3 linked regions of the Diceros bicornis minor genome follow. The protein of the gene in region 1 interacts with the protein of each later gene in a biochemical or structural test. Links are inferred from orthologs where the notes say so. Each region holds a gene or a part of one and is shown in the gene's direction. Other genes may lie near its edges. The genes, in order: TNFRSF13B, TNFSF13 and TNFSF13B.

Region 1 (7,960 bases):
CCAGGACGCACAAGGTGCCAAAGTAGCACCCAAAGGTGACACTGACACAGAGGGGCAGGTGCCTTTACCTGGGGACATCTGGTGTACCCCCCAACAGGTGGTCCGCCTCAGCCTCCCTGCGTGCAGGACAAACTGACATGGTACACCTCTGGATTAGGTTCCGTAGGAACGACACCCCATCACCCGGGAGGTCTTCTCCCCGAACTGTGTAACCTGAACCCAGGGAGCATGTGGACCTGCCGTGCCAGTCCAGAACTCACAGAGGATGAGGACAAACTACACCGGGAGGAAACAGTCAGAGATGCAGATGCGGGACCTTCACTAAGACAGCGGCCGAGTCCACACCAAACAACAAAAGAAAGGAAAGGAAGGCAAAAGAAAAAGAGCTAAAGGGAGGGGACTGTTCTGGGAGAAAAATGACTGAAGAGTCATAAGCAAACGTGTGACCCTAGGCTGGATTTTAATTCAAAAGAAGCAGCCAAGAAAAACTTCTTAGGACAACTGGGGAAATTGAAACATGGACTAGTTAGTAAATGATGTTATTGAATTCTCACTGACTGTCTTGGGGGGAAAATGATCGTCTGTGTAAGAGAACATAGTCCGTCTTCCTAGGAGTCATCTGGGAGGCATCTGGGCGTGAAGCTTCAATGTCTGCTTTCAGCTGTCTAAGTGAACAGCTGTTGAGTCTTGGAGCGTCCACGGGTATTCATTTTACTTCACTTTTAACCTTTCTCTGAGTTTTGAATTTTTCATAATAAAAAGTTTTGAGGGGAAAATTTTAAAATAGAAAAAGAAACTAGGTCTTCCCACAAAAGATTGGGTGCTTTTATTGTAAAGAAATCAGTGTTTGCTTCTTTGGTGGGTTTTGCTCAAGTAACAGTATCTAGCCTTTCTGAGAAATTAGTACAAATCGAAGGAACAGGTATATTAGCAAAGTAGGAAATTCAGCACATCTGAGTCGTGTATGTAAATTGCAATCATGAAAATCAGGGCTTTCGCTGCATTTCTAAGAAATGTCCTTTTTTGGGTACTCTTGCTTTTATCTTACCTCTAAGACTCTTTAGAGAAGGTTCAACGGCGTGGCCTCAAAGGGGCCAGCGGGGGTGGCAGACACGAGGGCGGGATGAGACGAACACCCGCCGCCTCAAAGACCCTCCCAGCCCTGGAGTGGGCGAGGGGCCCTGCAGTCACAGCATCGCACACGCGGGCAAGGAAATACTGACCAACACGGCAGCGTTCCCTCTGACAGAGTGACTCCCCCTGAGGAATTCCAGCCATTCCGTGAGTCACGGAGAAGATAAAACAGACATTAATGAGCACATGCCAAGTGTTTAAGAATAGCGCCTGGCACACAGTGAGGGGTTCGGAAATGCTCGCTCCTGTTATTATTCCTAGCGAGCATTCTAAGAGCTCATTTAAAAAGGTAAGGACTGATTGATAGGATATATTAAGGGAGAAAAGGAGCGTGTTAACAGTGTGTTTAATCTGGATAAGCCAGCAATTACGTAAAAAAAAGCGTGTGGGGGGAAATGGGGCAAAATCTGTCCTGTAGTGACCCACACTCGCACGAAGGCCTGGGCCCTAGTGGAAGGCTGTGGGAACAGACGTGCTGGCGGCTACTGCCTCTGAGGAGGGGAGTCTGGAGTATCTAGATTGGGGCGAAATTTGCTTTTTGCTATATTCTCTTTCACACTGTTTGAATGTTTCTTTACCACGTGCTCATTTCAACAGTTTAAATACACGTATATGAATGAACCAGTTCCCAAACCTTGAGGTATACAATGTGTCTTTGCTCTGGGTTCCAAAACTCTGCTGTCGCCTTGACTGTGGAGCTTAAAATTAGAACTCCGCACCCCCAAGGAGACAAGTCAGAAGGGCTGGTTTCAGAATGAGGTTTGGAAGGTTCAGAATGAGGTTCGGAAACCTCCACCACCTGCGCTGAGGCAGCCCAGAGTGCTGGGGGCGGGGCTGGGGGGTGTTGTCGTGGGTCGTGGCCTAGACCGAGCATGCCCAACGATAGCAATTCCCTGCAACCGTGCGGCCCTGGGGGGAGGGGTCACGTGTGCTCTGGTCTGTGCAGTCCTGTTTCAGCTTCGTGGCCATCCATGTGATGGATCAGGAGAAAATGAGACTCGCAGACGTCAAACAACTTCCCCCCAAGATCCCCACAGCTTTGTTCTGCCTGCTTTAATCCCACCTAACACGGAGTGAAACTAGACACCGCGGATGACCCCATCTTCTGTTCCCATTCATCCCACTCATGCTGGCACAGGCAAGCGATTGCATGGGGAGAGAGGTCAGAACAGTGGCTATTCTGGGATGGGGGTACTGCCTGGAGGGGGAGGGAGGGAGCCTTCTGTGGGGGCTGAAAGTGTTCTAAGTCTTAATGTGGGTGGTGCTGCCTGGATATGCGCATATGTAAACATTCATTGACCTTCCACAGGACATGCATGCATTTCATCATATGTAAACGACGCCTCTAACTAAAGAAATAGAAACTAAATGAAATCCATTGTCTGTAAACTGTTTGAGAAAAGCATTAACAAGCTGTGATCAGCAATGGGACATCAGGGAACCCCACCATGCAGTTCTCAGCCACCCCAAAAGTCAAGTGGGATTTTGTGGGCTTGTCTTTCAGTTTCCGCCTAACCTATGCTGGCTGTAAAACTCCAGAGTGCTGTCTCACTGACCAAGACCATGCATGTGGCTCCAGAGAGCGGCAACCTGTCCAGAGGTTGCGTTTCTGGAAGGCACAGTGTTCAATAGATGGAGACAAGCTGTCCAGTGGTCAGAGCTCACCCCCTGGGAGCCAACCGCTTTGTGAGGTGGTGAGAGCCTCGGCCCTGGGAGTGTGCAAATCGAAGGCAAGGAGGGGATGCAGTGAGGGCATCCAGCAGTGACTCTGGGCTTGCCCCATTTCAACAGGCAGAACGTTCCTGGCAACAGAATCTATGGTTGCCTCTGGCTCACGCGTCTACCCCACCAGCCCAGCCGTGGGTTTGCTACATTTCATTGACACAAGTAATATGTGGTATCTTCTCCATGTGAAAGTTAAAACAGTATGAATAGGGCTAAAGTCCCCTTTGACCATCACCGCCAACCCTGCTCCCTTCTCGCCCCCCGCCCCCTGGATGCAGCCACTGTCATCATGCACAGCCCTTCAGACTCGCGTCACATTCACACGTACGCGATCGTGGACAATATAGTGGCCTTGTGTGCGTGTGTGTGTGTGTGTGTGTGTGATCTGCTTGTTTGTGTTTTACTAAAAGGCATCTTACTGTAAGTATCATCCTATAAACTATGTTCTTTCCACTCAACGATCTGTCTTGACAATCTTTCCACGTCACTGCTTACAGATCTGCCTCATTCTTTTCAGGCGACGCGTAGTGTTCCTGGTTACGGCCTGTGTACCTTATTTATTCAGCCATCTCTATTGGGTGGGCATTCGCGTCGTTCCAGTTGCTCACTGTTATTGACTATGCTTCAGCGAACATCCCTGTGCCTCTGCGGCACAGAAAGAATTTCTGGGTCCTGGGTTAGGCATATGTTCCACATTTACTTGACGCTGCCAGGTTGCCCTCTGAAATGGCGGTACCCTCCTCCAGCAGGGCGTGAGTTCACATTTCCGCAGATCCCCTCCAGTCCTCGACACCATCAACTTTAAGACTTTGCCAACTTGCTGGATGAAAATCAGTTTTTCATGGTTAAGTCGTACTTTTCTGCTTATTGGTGAGATTAAGCATTTTTTAGGGTTACGAGCCATTTGCATTTTCTCTCCTGTTCTGCTCACCATCATCTAAATTGGCCTTTGTTCCCCGCACCGCTCCCCCCTGCCCTGACCGCTGCCTGGAAGGCCTATCTCCTTCCCTCCACCCGCCTGATTCCTTCTCAGCCCTCAAAGGTCCCTTCCTGAGTGCCGTGGGCTTCCTGTGACTTCTAAGTGCGTCCCACTCCAGCTTAAGCCGCGGGCTCCTCATGCTCACGGAGGTTTCAGAGGAGCTGGGAAGACAAGAGTGTGAAGAGGGCTACAGCACTAATTTCCATATCATTTAGTGAGAACCTGCTCTGTGCCAAGAACTTGCTCTACAAATTCCACTGTGTTAACTCACTTCATTCTCATAACAACCTGTGAGACAGGGACTGTTATTATATCCATTTTACAGAAGAGGAAATGGAGGTCCAGAGAAGCTAAGTAAACTGCCGCCAAGGCTTCCTGCTGCTAAGTGGGCGAGCTGAGACTCAAACCCAGGCTTTAGTGTCAGCCTCTTGGAGTGCTTTGAAGGGAGGAAGGACAGAGCTTAGGAAGCACAGAGAATGGGCACCTAACCTGGCCTGGGGCAGTCAGGGATGGCTTCCCAGAGGAGGTGACACCTCAGCTGAGCCTGAAGAAGGAATAAGAGGAGATGACCGGGCAATGAAACAAGCAATAGTTGTCCGGGACGAAGGAAGGGCCTGAGCAATGCTCGGAAGCTGGAGAGCTGTTTCCCGGGCCTGAGCCTGGCGTGTCCGCGGTGGGGCAGGAGACCAGGTCCCGGTGGGAGGTCAGGGCCAGATCTGGGCCATGCCAGGGTTGGTAGCCCATGCCGGGGCGGGGTCGGGCCTTCCCCTGCTCTGCCCGGGTGAGCAGCGTGCGGGGGGCTCAGCAGACAGCGCCCGACGGGACTCCTGGGGCGCCGGGCCGCGTCCACCCCCAGCAGCTCCCGAGACAGCGCGCAGGCGCGGGGGTGAGGGGTGGGGGTGCCGCTGATTTACATCCTACAGCTTGGGGGGAAAACCCAGGAAGTGCAGCAGGGGCACTAATCAAATCTGAGGCTAATAATAAACGTCCTGAGTAATGAGGGGCCCGGGCCAGAGCAGGAGAGGTGGCCGGAGCCGGGCGGGCCCGGAGGAGCGGCGTGAGTAGCCGGGGAGGCGCGGGTGGTTGGGAGGGCTCGGCGCCGCCTGGGCTCCGTGGGGTCGGTGGGCGCGACGCCCACAGCAGATGGGCAAGCTGGGGCGGTCCGGGGCCTCCCCAAGCCCCCGCCCGTGGAGAGCCCAGGTCTGGGGACTCCGGGGTCTGTGCCTTGCAGTCCAGGATGGGAGCCCCGAGGCCAGATGGTCAGCCACCGGGGCAGGAATTCCCTCTGAGACCCCTACCACAAGCTGGCCAGAGGGCCCGGAGCCAGATTCACCAGGACTTTTTGTGTGTGTGTGAGGAAGACCAGCCCTGAGCTCACATCCATGCCAATCCTCCTCTTTTTTGCTGAGGAAGACTGGCCCTGGGCTAACATCCGTGCCCATCTTCCTCCACTTTATATGGGTCGCTGCCACAGCATGGCCTGACAAGAGGTGCGTGGGTGCGCGCCTGGAATCCAAACCTGTGAACCCTCGGGCTGCCAAAGCGGAGCACGGGCACTTAACCACTGCACCACCGGGCCGGCCCCCACCAGGGTATTTTAAAAATATTTTATTTTGAAGTTGACACTTAGGCAAGAGTAGAGAGGAGAGTTTACAAACCCTCCTGGTGGGTCACCCGCTTCACATTTATCAATATGTGACCAACTCTGGTCACCCACGCCCCCCATCCCGGCTCCGGCCCCCTGGAGCATTTTAAAGCTAATTCCGAACATCGTGTTGTTTGATTTGGGGACACCTCAGGATTTATCTCTTAAAAACTCTTTAAAAAACAAAAACCAAAAAACTAACCATGATGTGGTGACCACTTCTGAGAACCATGATCCCTCAGTCTCTCCCCACTATCGGCCGGTCAGTGTTCAGACTTCCCGATGGTCTCAGCTGTGCCTTTTCCTGTTGATTTGTGCAAACCGGGATCAAACACAGCCCACGTCAGCCTTTGGCCCTATGTTTTAATCTAGCACCGTTCCCATTTTTTCCCTGCTGTTTATTTGTTGAAGAAGCTGGATCATGCGTCAGGGCAGCTTTTAAAGGTTTGCTCGAAAGCAGAAACCTGGAAGCGTAGGTCGCTAAAGCGGATAAAAGGGGCCAGGTCCTCCCTGTGCAGATGGGACCCGGGGCCGGATCTGAGCGGGTATCAGGGCCCACAGTGGCACAGCCTATTCTCTCCCCCACGCATCAGGTAGGGAGCCTGTCTTTTCTCTGTTCCGTTTTGTGTTGTGACCACATCCCCAGACGTGTCCTCAGCTAAGGGCTCAAATGTATAAAATTTCTGAGAGAGTTGGACCAGGGAGGGACCAGAGGTCGCCTTGATACAGGATGAAGCTGCCTGGGCCCCCAGGACCAACCGTGAGTCGGGATGGGTCAGAGCTGTGACCTGGCACTGATGGAGGCTACCTCATGCCGAGGACTCAGCCCTGGCCGGGAGTCAGGAGTTCTAGCTTCTGCTGCTCACGGACTTGCTGTGTGACCTTGGATGAGCCGCTTCACCTCTCTGGGCTCCCTTTCCTCAGCTGTAAAAAGAAGAAGAGCCTCTGTTCCACCAGATGTCCCTCAAAAACACAGAAGGGCTTTGTACCTGCCAGAGCCCCTCTTGAAGAGTCACAAGCAGTGGTTCTGAGAAGGGCTGCCGTTAAAAAAACACACTTTGACTTTCTTTAACCCAGCATTTTTCAAACTAATTTGACCCCAGAGGTCTTTCTTGGTGCAGCACCTATTAACAAGCCAAGCACGTGAGGAAGCATGGGCAGTGGGCTCCAGGAATCGTCCCTCCTGGCTGCTCTCCAGTCTCAGGGTGCACGGGAGCTGGGCTGGGAGCCGGGGCCACAGACCAGGCGTGCGGGACTCCTTCCCTTCTTCCCCGTGTGTCAACAGAGCTTCTTTCCCAAGCTTCTGTTCTGCCTGGCCGGTGTCAGTCCTGGGGTTTTTCTGCCCTCTTTGGGGCTGACGATGACTCTGGCATTTTCCGTAGGTCCAGGCAGTGGTAGAGGAGGGGGAGCAGGGACGGCACCCTCTGGCCACTTGGGCACTGTCTCTCGGTCAGGTCCAGCGGCGTGGTGGCTTCCCGGCCACGTGTCTTGAAAGCTCTCTCAGGCGCCCTTGTCGGATCTGACCCACTATCCACCCAACCATCACCTCACAGGGGGTTGGGTGGGAAGCAGTCTCTCCCTCTTTTCTCCCCAAATGAGGGAAGGGTCAAGGGTCTCTTTTTAATTTTGTTTGATTTGTTTGTTTTTTAAATTGCTTTTTGAATATGTAGTATAGTCACATGGTTGGAAGCTCAGAAAGTATAAAAAGGTATATAACAGAAAGCCTGCCTCCCCTCCCTGTCCTCTGTCTGCCCGGTTCCTGCCTCCCCTAGAATAAATAGCTTTATTGAGATATAATTTATATGCCATAAAGTTCACCCATTTAAAGTGTACAATTCAGTGTTTTTTAGTGTATTTACAGAGTTGTGCAACCATCACTATAATCTAATTTTAGAAGATTTTCATCCCCAAAGAGAAGCCTTGTCCCTCCTCATCCTCCCCACCCCCAGCCTTAGGCGACCACTAATCCACTTTCTGTCTCTATAGATTTGCCTATTTTGCACGTTTTGTAGAAATGGAGTGTGGTGTTTTGTGACTGGCTTCTCTCACTTAGCGTAATATTTTTGAAGTTCATCCATGTTGTAGCACGTATCAGTACTTAATTCCTTTTTATGGCCAAATAATATTCCATTTTATGGATATACCACATTTTATTTATCCATTCATCAGTTGATGGATATTTGGGTTGTTTCTACTTTTTTGTCTATTATGAATAACGCTGCTATGAACATTTGTGTACAAATATTGGGTGGACATGTTTTCATTTCTCTGGGGAGTGGAATTGCTGGGTCATATGGTAATTCTGTGTTTAACATTTCAAGGAACTGCCAAAGTGTTTTCCAAGGTGGCTGCACAGTTTTATAATCCGGCCTAACACATGAAGGTTCCAATCTCTCCACATCCTTGCCAACACTTGTCACTGTCTTTTTCATTATAGCCATCCTAACAGGTACTCAGTGTGGTTTTGATTTGCATTT
Region 2 (7,051 bases), about 10 Mb from region 1:
AGCTGAAGGAGAAAGTGCTAGAGGAGCAGGATGGGGCATAAGGCTGGAGAAGAATGTGGAACCCAGGTCACAAATGGAGTCTGGAACTTATTCTGAGGCTCACATCTGCATTTTAGAAACATCACTCTGTGGCTGTGTGTGGGGAATAGACTGGAGCAGACAATATTGGAAACAGGAAGTTCAGTGAGGAAGGAGGCCAAGAAGAGTCCCAGTGAGAAGTGGCAGAGGCCAGACTGGGGAGGAAGACAAGGCAGGGCTACTTAGGTAGCAGAAGTTGCAGGAACTGGTGATCGGTGAATACAGTTGGTAAAGGAGAGGGAGGCTTGGGTACACGGTGGGAGGTAGAGCCAAATCTGGAATACAGACAGCAAAGCAAGTATGGGGTGGGGGGGCCAAGCTCAGTTTTGGTCAAAATGAGTTTGGGGTACCCAGGGCTATTCCAATGGCAGCAGTTAGCAGGGAGAAGAGGGTCAGGAAACCTCTGAGCTAGAGGCTCAGATCAGAGTCTGCAGGGTAAAGGCCTAGGTAACTCATAAGTGGGAATGAAAATGCTCAGCAAGTACTATGTTTTCCTTGAGAAAGTAACAAGAACAGAGTCCTGCGGCTGGTGGAGGATGAGGGGCTGGGGAAGGCAGATGCCCAGGCGGCTGAGACGTAGCCAGTGAGGCCTAGGAGAGTGGCCTATGGACCCAAACAAAGAGAGCGCTGTTGGCCATGTTCACCTCCTTCCCTCCATCTTCCTATCAGCGTTTGCTGTGCGCCCACTCAGAGCAGGCCCAGCTCCAGGCGCCGGGATACAGTGGTGCATAAGACCACTGTCGCTGCCCTCTTGGCGGAGTCAGACCCCAAACTATCACATACATAAATAAACGAGATGATTTCCTATGTTGGTGGCTGCTATGAAAGAAACAGGGTGACTTGAAGAGATTAACGGAGGCAAGGCTGGGACTGGCTATTTTAAAGCGGGTGGCCCCGGAAGGTCTCTCAGAGGAGTTGAGACCTGACTGACAGAAGGTGCCAGGCAGGGGAGGAATCCTGAGGAGAGTGTTCTGGGAAGAAGGAAGAGCTGTAAAATGCTCTGCAGGGACAATGAGCTTGGCGCATGGCAGGAACAGGAAGAGGGCTAGAGTGCTGGAGTCTTGTGAATTGGTGGCATGTGTGAGTAAATTGGAGAGGAGACAGAAGGGGCCTGTGGAGGACCTGGGAAACCACTTGATACTCTGCTCTGTCATTTTATTATTTATCTTCTTTACAATTTGCAATTACCCTAGCCTAGATGGTTTTTTTTTTTTGGTAATGACTTTATTGGGATATACTTCACATACCATACAATTCACCCATTTAAAGTACAATTAAATGGTTTTTAGTATATTCACAGAGTTGTGCAACCATCACCACAGTAATTTTAGAACATTTTCATCACCTCAAAAAGAAACCCTGTACCGTTTAGCCATCACCCCCATTTTCCCCATCCCCCCGGCCCTAAGCAACCACTAATCTACTTTCTGTCTCTATATATTTGCTTATTTGGACATTTCATAGAAATCATATAATATGTGGTCCTTTGTGACTGGCTTCTTTCACTTAGCATAATGTTTTCAAGGTTTATCCACATCATAGCATTTTTTTTTATGGCTGAATAATATCCCATTGTATGAATATACCACAGTTTTCCTTATCCATTCATCCGTTGATGGACATCTGGGTACCATTTACTATTTTTAATTTAAATAATTCAAGTGGTGTATGATTCAAGTACTGTATGTATACATTCTCAAAGTAAAAGAGGCAAGCAATATAGATACAAAATATAAAAGCCCCCACACTTTGTCAAACCTACTCTTCTCCCCAGAAGTGACTGGTGACAACTTGCTCTGTGTCGTACCTGCCTGTTACACTATGGGCTCCACAGGCCCTGGCTCCTCCCTTGCCCTGAGCCGTCTATGTATCTTCTGGGTAAGGTGGGCCCCAAAGGTTTATAAACTCAGTGGGTCCCTGGGGAGTGTGAGAAAGTCCTGTAAAGGGACTTTCCCCTATCTCTGAACATCCACATTCAGGTGTGGACGGGACGGTGAGTGGCTGGGAGGAGGCCAAAATCAACAGCTCCAACCCACTGCGCTATGACCGCCAGAGCGGGGAATTTATAGTCACCCGGGCTGGGCTCTACTACCTGTACTGTCAGGTAAGCCCCACCTGGCTCCATGGGTAAAGCAGGAACTGAGGGAGAAGGGTTTGGTTTAGGGAGTGGGGGCAAGCTAAAGGTGGGAAGGGGGAGCTTGGGGTTTGGGCTGGAGAGGATACCTGGGTCTCTAAGGAGATTTGAAATGGACATGAGGGCAAGCAGAGCCCTAGATTCCACCCTCCCTCCCCTGCCCCCCAGGTGCACTTTGATGAGGGGAAGGCTGTCTACCTGAAGCTGGACTTGCTGGTGGATGACACGCTGGCCCTGCGCTGCCTGGAAGAGTTCTCGGCCACGGCAGCGAGTTCTCTCGGGCCCCAGCTCCGTCTCTGCCAGGTGTCTGGGCTTTTGCCCCTGCGGCCAGGGTCCTCCCTGCGGATCCGCACGCTCCCTTGGGCCCATCTCAAGGCTGCCCCCTTCCTCACCTACTTTGGACTCTTCCAAGTTCACTGAGGGGCCCTGGTCTCACGGTGGTTTTCCCAGGCTGCCGGCTCCCCACGACAGCTCTCCGAGCACCCCAGTCCCCTCTGCCCCACCCTAAGCTGCTCCTCCCCCCAGATCTGCCCCTCCCTCTGTAGGCTGCCAGGGCTTCACGTGTTCTCCATGCCACATAAATATTCCCATTTGACTATGACAACTCCCCCCACCTCTGGTCCTCCACCTCTTTAGCTCCCAAACCCCTGATCTTTCGATGCCCCCATTTATCTCCTGGCTCCCCACCCTGGCCACAGCCCCCCAGGACACTGGGTTTACTGTACTCTGGGTAAGGATGGGTCCTGAATACCCCTCTTCAGGCACTAAGAGGGGCTGGACGCCAGAAAGACTGGGACTAGGCCAGGAGTTCCCGACTGTGAGGGGTCAGAGACCAAGACAAGCTCCTCCCCTGATAATTCCCTGTGGATTTTTAAAACAGATATTATTTTTATTATTATTGTGACAAAATGTTGATAAGTGGATATTAAAGAGAATAAGTCATGGTCTCTCTCTTTATTGGGGCTTAGGGGACATTCTCAGTGTAGCCAAGGGCCAGGGGAAGGGTGTCTGGGCATTGGGGAGTCGGGGGCAGGACACCCGGAATTCCAGGGTGTTATACAGCTTGGGAGTGGGGACCTGCATGCCTCCAACCCCTGAGGTATAAGCAGAGAGTGGAAAGGCAAACTGCCAGGAAAAATATCAATCCTCTGCCCAAGGTCCAGCAGGGCAGCCTCATTTACCTAGGAGGCGGGCCTCCTCCTGCGGGGAATCCCTGGCTGGGAGGAGCAGGGGCCCTTCCTCTTGGCAGCCTCAGGACATTCAGCAGGTGCTGGCACAAGCCCTGGCTGGGATCTGGGGTGGGAGCAGGTCTGGAAGGGGGCTCAGAGTCAATATGAAGGACCCCGAGGCCCAGGAACATGGGAATCTGGGCCCCTGGGTCCAGGGGAGGAATCCTACAGTGGTAGGGTGCTTGGGGCTGTCTCGTTCTCTCTTTGTCCACAGCCTTATGTAAGAGCTTTTCTCGGGAAACAGGAAGTCCTGCTTGCCAAGTTCAGCACAGGGAGTAGTGCAGGCCTTATTCCAACACACCCGGCCTGGCCTTAACCCCAGAACTCAGACGGTTTCTTGCTTCCGCGACCCTGGTTCTCCTCCCACCGACCCCCTCCCCTCCTCTGCCACCTGCAGTCACTCCTAGCAGACATCCCCAGAAATCTCTCCCGTGCCTGAGCCAGAGGGTCTTCCACCCTCACCCGTTGACCCTCAACGCTGCCCAGCTTGTCCCTCCATCCTTGCTCCTGGCACCATGCCCCACAGCCAACCAACCTTCCCTCCCCCACTTCTGGGGCCGCCCCAGGGTTCCTGTGCTCTGGCCGCTCCTCCTGGGTGTCACTGGCAGCCCCGTCCTTCCTAGAGAGACTGACACCAAATTCTCCTGAGGCTGAAGGAGGGTGAGGGGTCTCAAGACAACACTGGCCCCATAGCGGGGTGCCAGGAGCACCAACAGTGCCCCCAGCTTGCTTTCCTCCTCCCTCCTTTTTATTCTCAAGTTCCTTTTTATTTCTCCCTTGCGTAACGCCCTTCTTCCCTTCTGCACCACTGCCTGCACCCCCACCCTCTCCGCCACCTCCTTGCCACCCCACTCCTAAGACCACAGCTGTTGGCAGGGTCCCCAGCTCATGCCAGCCTCATCTCCTTCCTTGCTAGCCCCAAAAGGGCCCCCGGGAGACATGGGGGGCCCGGTCCGAGAGCCGGCACTCTCAGTTGCCCTCTGGTTGAGTTGGGGGGCAGCTCTGGGGGCTGTGGCTTGTGCCATGGCTCTGCTGACCCAACAGACAGAGCTGCAAACCCTAAGGAGAGAGGTGACCCGGCTGCAGAGGACTGGAGGGCCCTCCGAGAAGGGGGAAGGGTATCCATGGCTGAGCCTCCAGGAGCAGGTGAGTGAGGGGAGAGGGGTGTCTGGGAGAGAAAGATGGGTGGCAGGGCCATCTGTGGGCCTCTCGGTTTCAGCCTCCTAGTCTGTAAAGTTTCGAGTGGGTGCAAGAGAGGGTCCCAGGTCTGGAGGTCAAGGGAGCAGCCATTCCAGGAAAGGAAACTGTTAAAGATTAATGCTTCTTGTACCTAACAGATCCTGGAGGACAGCCAGCACCAAGACTCAGGTTGCTAGGGAAAGGTGCATGAGATGTGAGGCATTCCTGGGTCAGGGGAGGGCTGGGGAGAACGGCTGTCTGGGACCCTTGCATCTTAGCCTAACCCTGACCCTCTTTCCGTGAGCAGAGCCCTGATGCCCTGGAAGCCGGGGAGAATCGGGAGAGATCCCGGAGAAGGAGAGCAGTGCTCACCCATAAACAGAAGAGTGAGGCCTCCGGGGTGCCGCAGGGGTGGGAGGTGATCAAGCCGCATGGGGATTTGGAGATTATTACCCCGAGTCAAGGTGAGGGTGGAGGGCTGACAACAGGGCAACTGGGGTAGTGGGCACTGCTGAGATTTCCTCCTTCTCTCCTCAGGAAAGCACTCAGTGCTGCACCTTGTTCCCATTAACATCACCTCGAAGGGTGAGCACAATTTTATATATTGGCTTTTGGGAAGGGTGCAAGATCTGGGAACTTTGCGGCTGGCACCTGGGCCCAAGAGAATCTTAGAGGTGAAAAGAGTCTGAGAGTGCACAGAAATCCTGACTGCCACACTCCTTACCTCCAGAGGACTCTGATGTGACAGAGGTGATGTGGCAACCAGCTCTTAGGCGTGGGAGAGGCCTGGAGGCCCAAGGATATGTTGTTCGAGTCTGGGATGCTGGAGTTTATCTGCTGTACAGCCAGGTAACCCCAAACATGAGCCTTGAGCCTCACATGGGGGCCTGGAGTCTTGAGCCTGTGTACCCCGATACTGAGGGTTCCCAACCCCTGTTCACACCAAACTTGGAAGACCCTTCTTCATCCCTTGGCTCCCTTGACAGGGCTCCTGAGACTGTCCAGAAATGAGCCATGCCATCCTGTTTTTTTCAACATCTCCTCCCTTCCCTGCCAGGTCCTGTTTCATGATGTGACTTTCACCATGGGTCAGGTGGTGTCTCGGGAGGGCCAGGGAAGGCAGGAGACTCTATTCCGATGTATAAGAAGTATGCCCTCCAACCCGGACTGGGCCTACAATAGCTGCTACAGTGCAGGTGAGAGCCGTGCGGGCAGTGGAGGCTGGATGTGAGAAGACCACGACATCTCTGACCTGGGGGCAGTGGTGAGGGAGCTACGACAGGGGGTTGGAAGCCTGGGTGTCAAGGCAGATCTGCGGAATACCTAGGTCCTTACAGGAAGCAGAAAAAAGGTTGAGCTGGAGAAGGGAGGGTGAAACATCAGAGTATCTGCATGCCTGTGCTTCACTGAGCAGAGTTTCTCCCTTTTCTCAGGTGTCTTCCATTTACACCAAGGGGATATTCTGAGTGTCATAATCCCCCGTGCAAGGGCGAAACTTAGCCTCTCTCCACATGGAACCTTCCTGGGGTTTGTGAAACTGTGATTGTGTTATAAAAGGTGGCTCTGAGCTTGGAAAACCAGGGTGGGTACATATTGGAGACAGCCAAGAGCTGACTAGACAAATGACAGGGAATGGGTAGGAACAGAAGCCTCTTCTGGGTTTGACTGGAACCCTGGGTTTGACAGCTCATGCCACGGGACCTGGGTTTGACTCCTTTCCTCCCTTTTCCTTTTCCACTCCCACCCCCTAGACTTTGATTTCATGGATGTTAAAGAGGTAGAATGTCTTGCTTTTATCCCTCATCCAGCCCCAAATTCTTAACGGGGAGGGAATGCCAAGCATTGTCTAGATCTGCTTTGGGTCCCACTGGAATGCTTCCAGAACAGCACCACCATCTAGCGGCAGTTTGAGAGAATCATCCTGCCTGTTGGCAGAAGTCCACGAAGCCTTCCTCCACTCAGGAAAACTCCTGGTTCCCTTTGCCAAACCTCTCTCCAGGTACCCTCTGCCTCTTCAACCCACAAGAAGCCTCATCCTCCCTTTCTTCTCTCCATCTATTGGGCCTCAGTTTCCATCACTATCTCCAGAGGTGTATTTATTATGCGCCCATCTGCAGGGGGTGCCCGACGAGGACGGTCCCTTTGCAGTCACATTACTCTTCGGGTCCCAAGTTTTGCCTTTCATACTCTCCCTTCCCCTGGCGTGGCAGGCCACTCCAAGCCCCTCTGGGCTGGGACGGGTCGCCGGGGAGCCTTGGAAGAATCGAACGCCCTGATGCTGGTCTTGCCTCGCTCATCTGAGCTCTTCTTTCTGCTCAAGCCCTGCTTAAAGTTAAATAAAAGAGAATAAATGATACCTCGCATCCATTTCCCCCACTGCCTTGCCTCAGCCCCGTCCCTGTACCGGGATCTCCCTGCCCTCCCGGCTCTC
Region 3 (8,042 bases), on another chromosome or scaffold:
GTCCTAAAGAATAGGGAAAAAGTATTACTCAATATAAGAAGTCCCTGGAGAGGGAACACGAAGAGTTGATTAATTCAGCAGCACAGTAGTGCCATGAGAGACCCAGTTTTCTTCCATGATCCTGCTCTCCTGTCCTCAGCCTCTCAGCCTGGGTATCACAGCATTTGGTGCAGTTCTAGGTTGTCATGTGTAGACATGTGATAGAGCAAGAAGAGTGTCTTTTTATTGTTTCTCTTTAAAGATGATGGACTCTTTCTCATGAGAGACCACCTTTCACATCTGATTGTTAGAAACTTCCCTATCTGCCCACTCTTGGCAATCAAGGGCGATGTGGATGGAGTCCCCAGGACTGAACTGCAGTGGTTAGGATATAGCGTGCGTTTGGTCAGCATCCCACGAAGATGGACATCTAACCAAAATCAGTTTCCAGATTTGGGGCAGGAAAGACTGTTAAGATGGTGAAGCAAAATTGGGCATACAGGTATGTCTGACTTTAGAGCCTGTGCTCTTTTTTTTTTTTTTTTGTGAGGAAGATCAGCCCTGAGCTAACATCCATGCTAATCCTCCTCTTTTTGCTAAGGAAGACCGGCTCTGAGCTAACATCTATTGCCAGTCCTCCTCCTTTTTTTCCCCCAAAACCCCAGTAGATAGTTGTATGTCGTAGTTGCACATCCTTCTAGTTGCTGTATGTGGGACACGGCCTCAGCATGGCCGGAGAAGCGGTGCGTCAGTGTGCGCCCGGGATCCGAACCCAGGCCGCCAGTAGCGGAGCTCGTGCACCTAATTGCTAAGGCAGCGGGCTGGCCCCAAGAGCCTGCACTCTTAACTCCCATCATTTTACCTCTCGCATTTAGTAAACAAAAAGTCAAATTAATCATTAAAAATGTTTGCAAACTGTGCTTTATTAATCTTAAAGGCAGAGAGTTTTGTAAGTAATATTTCCTGCATGTGTAGAATTACTTTATCATTTCTCCCAACGTTTTTGAGGTGGTCAAATCTGACCAGGTGTTATTTGAGTGTCCCTGGGTGTCAGTGTGTGTAAAATAGAAAAATTCATTCATGTACATGAAATAGGTAGGTGATCATATGGACTGACACATATCCATCTTAATACCAACGAAAATATTGTAAACATTATGAAGAATGACAAACTAAATTGCACTCATTGAAAATAGTATTGAAGTAAACAGAAATTTCTTAAAAACACACATTTAAACACTTTTCTTCAAGAGAATTAAATCTGAAAGCAGTTACAAAACAAATTGAGGACAGATTCACAAATGAAACTGAGTTCTTACAAAAGTGGATTTTTTTCCAACAGTGACAAAAATCAACCTCCAGTACATGCATACACAGTCTTCTTTTTAATATAACTATTAAGAAAGAGAAATCAGCATTGCCAGACACTGACATTATTTTTTGTGTAAGGAACGACCAGAGTTGTCTAATTTTAAACACATATTATTCCACAGTTAAGTTCTACACGGTGTTTAGCATTCAGCCTTCCAAATCAATTTTCACTATAACTGTAATAGCAACCGACTGCATATCTATTTCTGCCAGAAAACAACATGATTTTTTTTCTGAAATTTAATAGTTATTTGTATCAAACTATTTTCCATATTCTGAGCACGTTAGGAAGCCAGTTTCACCTAGATTTATTTTTAGGTACATCCGAATATTTAGAAGAGCTGTTGTCTCCATGCTTGAGTGGTCCAAATCCTTATGAAAGACTCATTTTCCTCAAAGAAAGGGGTATAGGAGAGATTTCCCAAACTTGCTAATTCTTCATGATACTATTAAGCCAGAAGTTGATAAGCTTTTTGAATATTTTGAGGTTGTCAGTATAAGAAGCAAGCAGTCATAGAGTAGGTGTTCGTTTTATGCTGTGGTTCAGTTCCTTGGATAAACTCATCACTGAAGTTCTTTTCAAATATACCCTCACGTGTTCCTATCTGCCCACCCCTGAGTGGCTGGGACAGGAATGTGACATCTCAATTTGTTTATTCAATTTGGTATAGCTATGTTACAGGAGAGTGTTTTACACTGAAGTTGAGAAAAAGAAGTGGGTAGAAAAGTAGCTACGTACTGACAGAGAGCGCTCTGTGGCTCAGGGAGGGTAGCTTCTCCTCCCTGGATAAACTTGTGTGGTGTGTGTTCAGTGGATGTGAACATGCTATTTGTTTAACAGAGTTTCAGTTAAATTATTGTCAAACCACTTCCTCTGCAGGAAACAGATCTTTGATTTACGGAGTAATGACTTCCTTTTGTTCCTCTAATAAGAAATTCAAGAGCACATGAATGCCACTTAGTTTTCGATCTGTCTTCAGACAAATTTAATTGTGTGATCGCCGTGGAGGACACGCAAATGGCAATGAGTGCCTGCCTCAGGTCTGGGTCGGGGGGAGGCTGGCCTGCTGCCTTTTGTGGAGGAAGCACCAGCCCTCTCTGTGCTCAGGGTTGCCCCCTGCTTGATCCAGGACGGGGTACTTGTTTTAAAATGGCCTGCACGTAGGCTGCTGGGTGGCTGTCTCTTGAGGTGGTTGGGCATGAAGGTTTCTGCCCAATAGAGCAACCAAGGCAGAGGTAATTGCTAAAACGGTCAAATTATTCCCTCTCTCTTCAGAAATGTCACAGCAGAGTAGGAGACAAGTGACCCGTCAGAAGTAGGAGAGTGTTGACCCACAGAAAGCAGCAGCGGCCACAGGTGTCCCGAGTGAAGGAAGAGTCGTTGGTTTCCAGCACCGCCTTGAATTCTTACTCTGTATGTGCATAGATAATATTAATATACACTCACATGATCTCAGTGAGTTTCAATTACTTTCAGTCAGAAGGGTTTAATACAATCCCTAAACTAATTCTTTTTTATTGGAATGTTATCTCTTATATGTCACCCTGATTGACCTGGAAACATAGGACTGTGACAAAAGACTTGTATTACGTGATGTCTGATTCAAAAGATTTTGCATACTCACTCACAGAAGAAGACTTCCACCTGAGAGATTAGAGAATAGCTAATTTGGGAGACCAAGGTAATCATTAAAAAATTTTTACTTTTTTTTTAAGTTTTTTAAAGGTCATTTAAAAGAGTCTTGGAACTTGCAGACACAAAGGAAAATAATAACAATCCCAATAGGTAAAAATGAATAAGTCTCGCGACATCATGCTTACTGAGACACTGAGGAAACGGGCACTCATCAGAGGGGACTTGGTGACACGTGGTAAAGGTAACCCTGTGCCTGCTCTCCAGCAGGTGCCTGCTGGGGAAACCCTTGCAGATGTTACAGGAGACATGTACAAAGATGTTTATTATGGCACTGTTAATAACAATGAAAAATACTTCGTGTAATGAATGAGTGAAACATTTCGTTCGTATAATGAATGAATGAAATATATTTCATGTTGTGAATGAAAAATGGAAGCATCTTAAATATAATTTGTTCTACTTTCCTGTACGCCTCTTTACAATTCTCAGGGACAGTTATCATCTCATTTAAGAGATGAGGAAACTGAGTCACAGAGAGTTTACATACTTTGCCCAAGGAGAGTAAGAGGTGGAGCCAGGATTCGCTCCCTGGAGGCCTTACCCTTACTTACCTCATTTCTGTAACTTTCTTTTGAAGATGGCATAGAAATGTGGGGTCAGATAGAGCTCCTGCTCTACAGTCTTTGCTCACGGGGGAGTCGTGCTTAGCCAGGCCTCGGCAAGTGCTCAGTAACATCACTGAAGTGTAAGCTCCTTGCTCAATATGTAGGTGCTGAGAGCCAAGCACCCAGAAACCGGGAAATGTCCAGGAGCCGTCCATCAAGACAAGGCAGCAACGCCACGTCCAACCATAGGGATTTGAAACTGAAGTGATTCTGGGTTGAGTCAGGTCGTTTTGCGTGCACTTCGATTGGGGCAGAGTCAACCTACTGTGGACTGGTAGATAAGCTGCTTTAGCAAAGAGCAGTAAGTGGCCGGACTGGGGCATTTGGAGCTGGAGATAAGGCCCATTAACCTCGAAACAGCATCACACTGAGCAGGGACTTCAAGCTCCAGAAGCGGGAACAGTAGAGGTGGGACCGCTCCTTGGGGCGGGGTGTCCTGTGGGGGACGGACTCCCTAGCAGTGAGTCCCAGAAGGAAATGATTAGCAAGTTTCCCTTGGAAATGCATTCCCCTGTAGAAGAACACACCCGTATCTAATTTAAATAGGTCTCCAAAGTTTAGCCACATGCTTTTAATTACATTGCTGAGATAACAATAAAGAGAAGAGTCCCCAGCGGACTTCCGTGCCTCCTTTAAGGACACTTCATTTTATTTCCTGCTTAAAGGCTGTTAATAAATCACTTTCCAGCTGAGTACAGTTCAATACTGAAGCACTTAGCTATCTGACCTCACATTCATTATTTTTATTACACCAGCAGGAACTTTCATGTTCTTTTCCCCTTTCCTACAAAGCCACGTGGCCCCAAGTAGACCCAGTTCTCTGAGAACGCCTCAGAGGGAGCTCCTTAAACACTGCACGGCTTAAAAGTGCCCTTAAGTGTGCTGACCCAAACCCGAGGTTCCGACAAATCAGTGGATTTAAGGGGCCCGTGTGTGTATGAGTGTTTTGAGATGTCATTAAAATTCTTACAAAAACTGAAAGTGAAATGAGGAAGACTGATTGAGCAATCGAATAGAAGGGCGAATGCCAGGAAGACCTAGCGTACAGTAGGGCAGAGATGCAGCGGGGCAGAGAGAAGAAAATTCAGGAGAACTCTCCTGAGGGCGAGAGCCACGCTGGGCGATGTAGTCAATGTAGGACATCAACAAACACAGATAACAGGAAATGATCCATTCCCTGTGGTCACTTATTCTAAAGGCCCGAACCTCCAAAGTTCAAGGAGTGAGATGGATGACTCCACACGAGGGGAGCAGTCACGCCTTTCTTCTTGCCTTAAGAGAAGAGAAGAAATGAAACTGAAGGACAGTGTCTCCATCCTCCCCCAGAAGGAAAGCCCCTCTGTCCGACTCTCCAAAGATGGAAAGCTGCTGGCCGTGACCCTGCTGCTGGCCCTGCTGTCCTGCTGCCTCACGGTGGTGTCTTTCTGCCGGGTGGTCGCCCTGCAAGCGGAGCTGGGGAGCCTCCGGGAGGAACTGCAGGCGTCCCACGCTGAGCGGCCGCCAGGCCCTCCCCGGGCGGGAGCAGCAGCCCCCCGGGCAGCTGTGCGGCAGGCTGCAGCTGCCACCTCCGCACTGAAAGTGAGTTTGCAGCAGCTGCAGCCCAGGCACGAGTCTCCCCGCACTGCTGCCTCCCCCACCGCAGAGGTCTGTGCCATAACTTGGGGTTTTTCTCTTCTTAGGGCATCTTTGCACCACCAGCTCTAGGAGAAAGCAACTCCAATCAAAGCAGCAGGAATAAGCGTGCCGTTTCGGACTCAGAAGAAACAGGTAGGTTTGGGGAACAGAAGCGTTTAGGAGTCGGGGATCTCAGCGTTCACAGGTGTGGAGGACCGCATCCGGTTTGGGGGCGCGCGAGCTGAGCATAACATAGAGAGTGCAATTTGCCGTCTGAACCACATGTGGCTTTGTGGCAAAGCCAGAGCACTTGCAGATTTAATAGGCTGCACAGCAGTTTTGTCCTCCAATGAGCAGATTTTGGGGGTGGAAATATTTGCCTGTGCCATACATTAAGCATAAAGGAGCAAAAAATGGGGCACATATTTTTCCTCCAATAGGTAGTTCACCCGTATGTCAGAAGCATTGTCCATCACTCCGATAAAAAGCATGACATGTTAGCACAGAATTAGATTCTGTCTACCTGGGTCGTAGACACCGGCTCAAGACAAGCATGGCCTGCCTGGTGTGCTGTGAAACCAAGGTCGTAGTGGGAGCAGGTGTGTGTTTGTGCTTTATTTTGCTTCTTGCTTTAAATACAGTGTATTTTATACACACACACTCTAATTTAAAAAATTTTCTTTTACATATGCTTTTCCAGGAGATCCATACATTTATAATCTTCTTGTAGTACTTCTTGAGTGATTTCCACCTTTCTTCATGTTCCACTTATTCCACAGAATCTTACAGATTCCTGAAACCTCGGATTTGGTGAGGCCTCCCAAAATGCTTGGTTCTAATTCCTTTGTTTCAAAGACGAACAAGAGCATTTGCATTGCATTTTCTAATATCACAATTTGACAAATCCTTGGTATCGTTTCCCTTTTATATTGAAAGAACGTTTCTGAGCACCTCGAATGTGCCAGGCAGGCTTGCGGTAGGACAGGTGTTGTCCCACCTGCCATTTCCTTCACCTTTACAGTGACCGGGAGGAAAGCAGAGCGCGTGTGATCATTACATACATCTGTACTGAAGAGAAGCACGTGAAGGACACAGACGAGGTGTGCTATTCGACACACACATTAGATACTCTGACTGTAAGCTTATTTTTCAGTAAATGCTTTCTTTATTCATGAAAAAAATTCTTCCTTATTTTATAAAACCATAATTTTTTGTATCTGGTTCTTCTATCTGTGTGCCAATTATCAGAAACAATTAGGTTTAAACGTTTTTAAACTAGGAAACACTCATATTTTTACTATACTTTAACACATCAATTATTTTCATATTTTGCATTTGATCGTCTACATTTTCTACATAATTGAAAAAATACAGCATATATACTATGGTATATTTTTGTGTTCACCTATTATACCATAAGCATTTTCCCTATTTCTAAGTAATTTCTCATGCATCTAAATTAGTTTATTTATTATCATACGATTATTTAACATGATCATTTCCATTTTTTTTTTTTTGGCTATAATGGAACATGCCAAAATTTTTGTGCAGATCTCTTGTTTCTGAGGAATGATATGTTCAATATAAATTCCATAGATGGAATGTCTGAGCTAAAGAGGATGAACATCTTCATCACTCTTGCTACCTGTTACCATATTGCTTCCCAAATGAGTTCTAAATGTGTGCAGTCAGAAAGAGAGTGTACAAGTTCTCCACATTCTTACAGCATTTTATCTTTGAAAATTTATTTTGGCTACTTTTGTAGTTGTAAAGCAGTATCTCAAATTTAATTTGTTGCTTGTTTACAAGTAAGAATTAACTTCTTTCCGCATATTTTGATACTTCTAATTTTATCTTCTGCTAATTTTTATTATATCTTCCCTCATTTGCCTGTCCTAATTTTTTATAATTTTGACTAAATTCTATATTACACATATTAACGTTTATCAGAATTTTGATGTAAATCTTTTCACAATATTTTGCTGCTTTTTTAAACTTGTACAGAGATTTTGCATCTGTGTATTTTAATGTGACAAACTTTTCCTTTTGACTTTCTCTAATACATCAAAGCTAAAAATATATTTGTTTGTAATCTCTTAAATAGTCGATTCTATTTTCCGCTACTTTGACTTTTTTATAATTTAGTGTTTTAGTTTGGTATTTAACTCATCAATCCTGCTGGCATTTATTTTGGAAGCTCATATCACACCAGCTTTAACTTCCCCTTTCTTCTTCTATTTTTTCCTTCCAAACTGCTGCTAAATATCTCTACCAAATTTACTAGATGATTCTTTTTAACTTGTTTGTGTTGGAAATTTTACTGTATTAAAAGTTCCTCATATATAGTTGAATCTATTTTGAAACTTTTTTTCATTGATTTATTATTCTGTTTATCTGTATTAAATAAAATATTTTAAGTAATTTTGTAATATAATGAGCTTCAATGTTCAGTAGGATCAGGATGCCTCAATCTTCTTCAACTTTCTCTGCTAGTAGTCCCCTGCCTCTAAATATTAGTTTTAAAAATAAACCTTAACTTTACCATTCCAAAGAGGATATAGGCTCATTACAGCATATTTAGGAAGTAAAGAACTGAGTAAGAAATCAATAATTTCCTAAGCCCACTTCCCTAAAGTATCCTCTATTAATATTTTTAAATTTCTTCCCATGTGGATATTTTTACATATTTGTGTTTTTATGGCGTCCAAAAATTGTATACTGATGAAACATATCCCCAACTTATTTGCTATTTTTAGAAAATTTGGAGAATAACAGAA

What was found.
Region 2: the proteins of TNFRSF13B (region 1) and TNFSF13 form a complex in vitro, tested with the Homo sapiens proteins (2 studies listed by BioGRID and IntAct). The link is inferred for Diceros bicornis minor from reciprocal best matches to the Homo sapiens genes TNFRSF13B and TNFSF13.
Region 3: the proteins of TNFRSF13B (region 1) and TNFSF13B form a complex in vitro, tested with the Homo sapiens proteins (3 studies listed by BioGRID and IntAct, with this or other methods). The link is inferred for Diceros bicornis minor from reciprocal best matches to the Homo sapiens genes TNFRSF13B and TNFSF13B.

What each region holds. Positions count from the first base shown.
Region 1 is NC_080757.1:466,230-474,189, reverse strand, and holds the start of TNFRSF13B (tumor necrosis factor receptor superfamily member 13B), read left to right. Parts: upstream 1-4,817; 5' UTR 4,818-4,834; coding exon 4,835-4,895; intron 4,896-7,960. UniProt on the Homo sapiens protein: Receptor for TNFSF13/APRIL and TNFSF13B/TALL1/BAFF/BLYS that binds both ligands with similar high affinity. Mediates calcineurin-dependent activation of NF-AT, as well as activation of NF-kappa-B and AP-1.
Region 2 is NC_080757.1:10,771,259-10,778,309, reverse strand, and holds TNFSF13 (tumor necrosis factor ligand superfamily member 13), read left to right. Parts: upstream 1-4,241; 5' UTR 4,242-4,329; coding exon 4,330-4,587; intron 4,588-4,927; coding exon 4,928-5,084; intron 5,085-5,157; coding exon 5,158-5,205; intron 5,206-5,350; coding exon 5,351-5,469; intron 5,470-5,677; coding exon 5,678-5,816; intron 5,817-6,053; coding exon 6,054-6,163; 3' UTR 6,164-6,306; downstream 6,307-7,051. Other genes in the region: TNFSF12 (tumor necrosis factor ligand superfamily member 12), read left to right, coding at 2,058-2,182, 2,381-2,632. UniProt on the Homo sapiens protein: Cytokine that binds to TNFRSF13B/TACI and to TNFRSF17/BCMA. Plays a role in the regulation of tumor cell growth. May be involved in monocyte/macrophage-mediated immunological processes.
Region 3 is NC_080748.1:82,904,400-82,912,441, forward strand, and holds the start of TNFSF13B (tumor necrosis factor ligand superfamily member 13B), read left to right. Parts: upstream 1-4,708; 5' UTR 4,709-4,878; coding exon 4,879-5,229; intron 5,230-5,330; coding exon 5,331-5,418; intron 5,419-8,042. UniProt on the Homo sapiens protein: Cytokine that binds to TNFRSF13B/TACI and TNFRSF17/BCMA. TNFSF13/APRIL binds to the same 2 receptors. Together, they form a 2 ligands -2 receptors pathway involved in the stimulation of B- and T-cell function and the regulation of humoral immunity.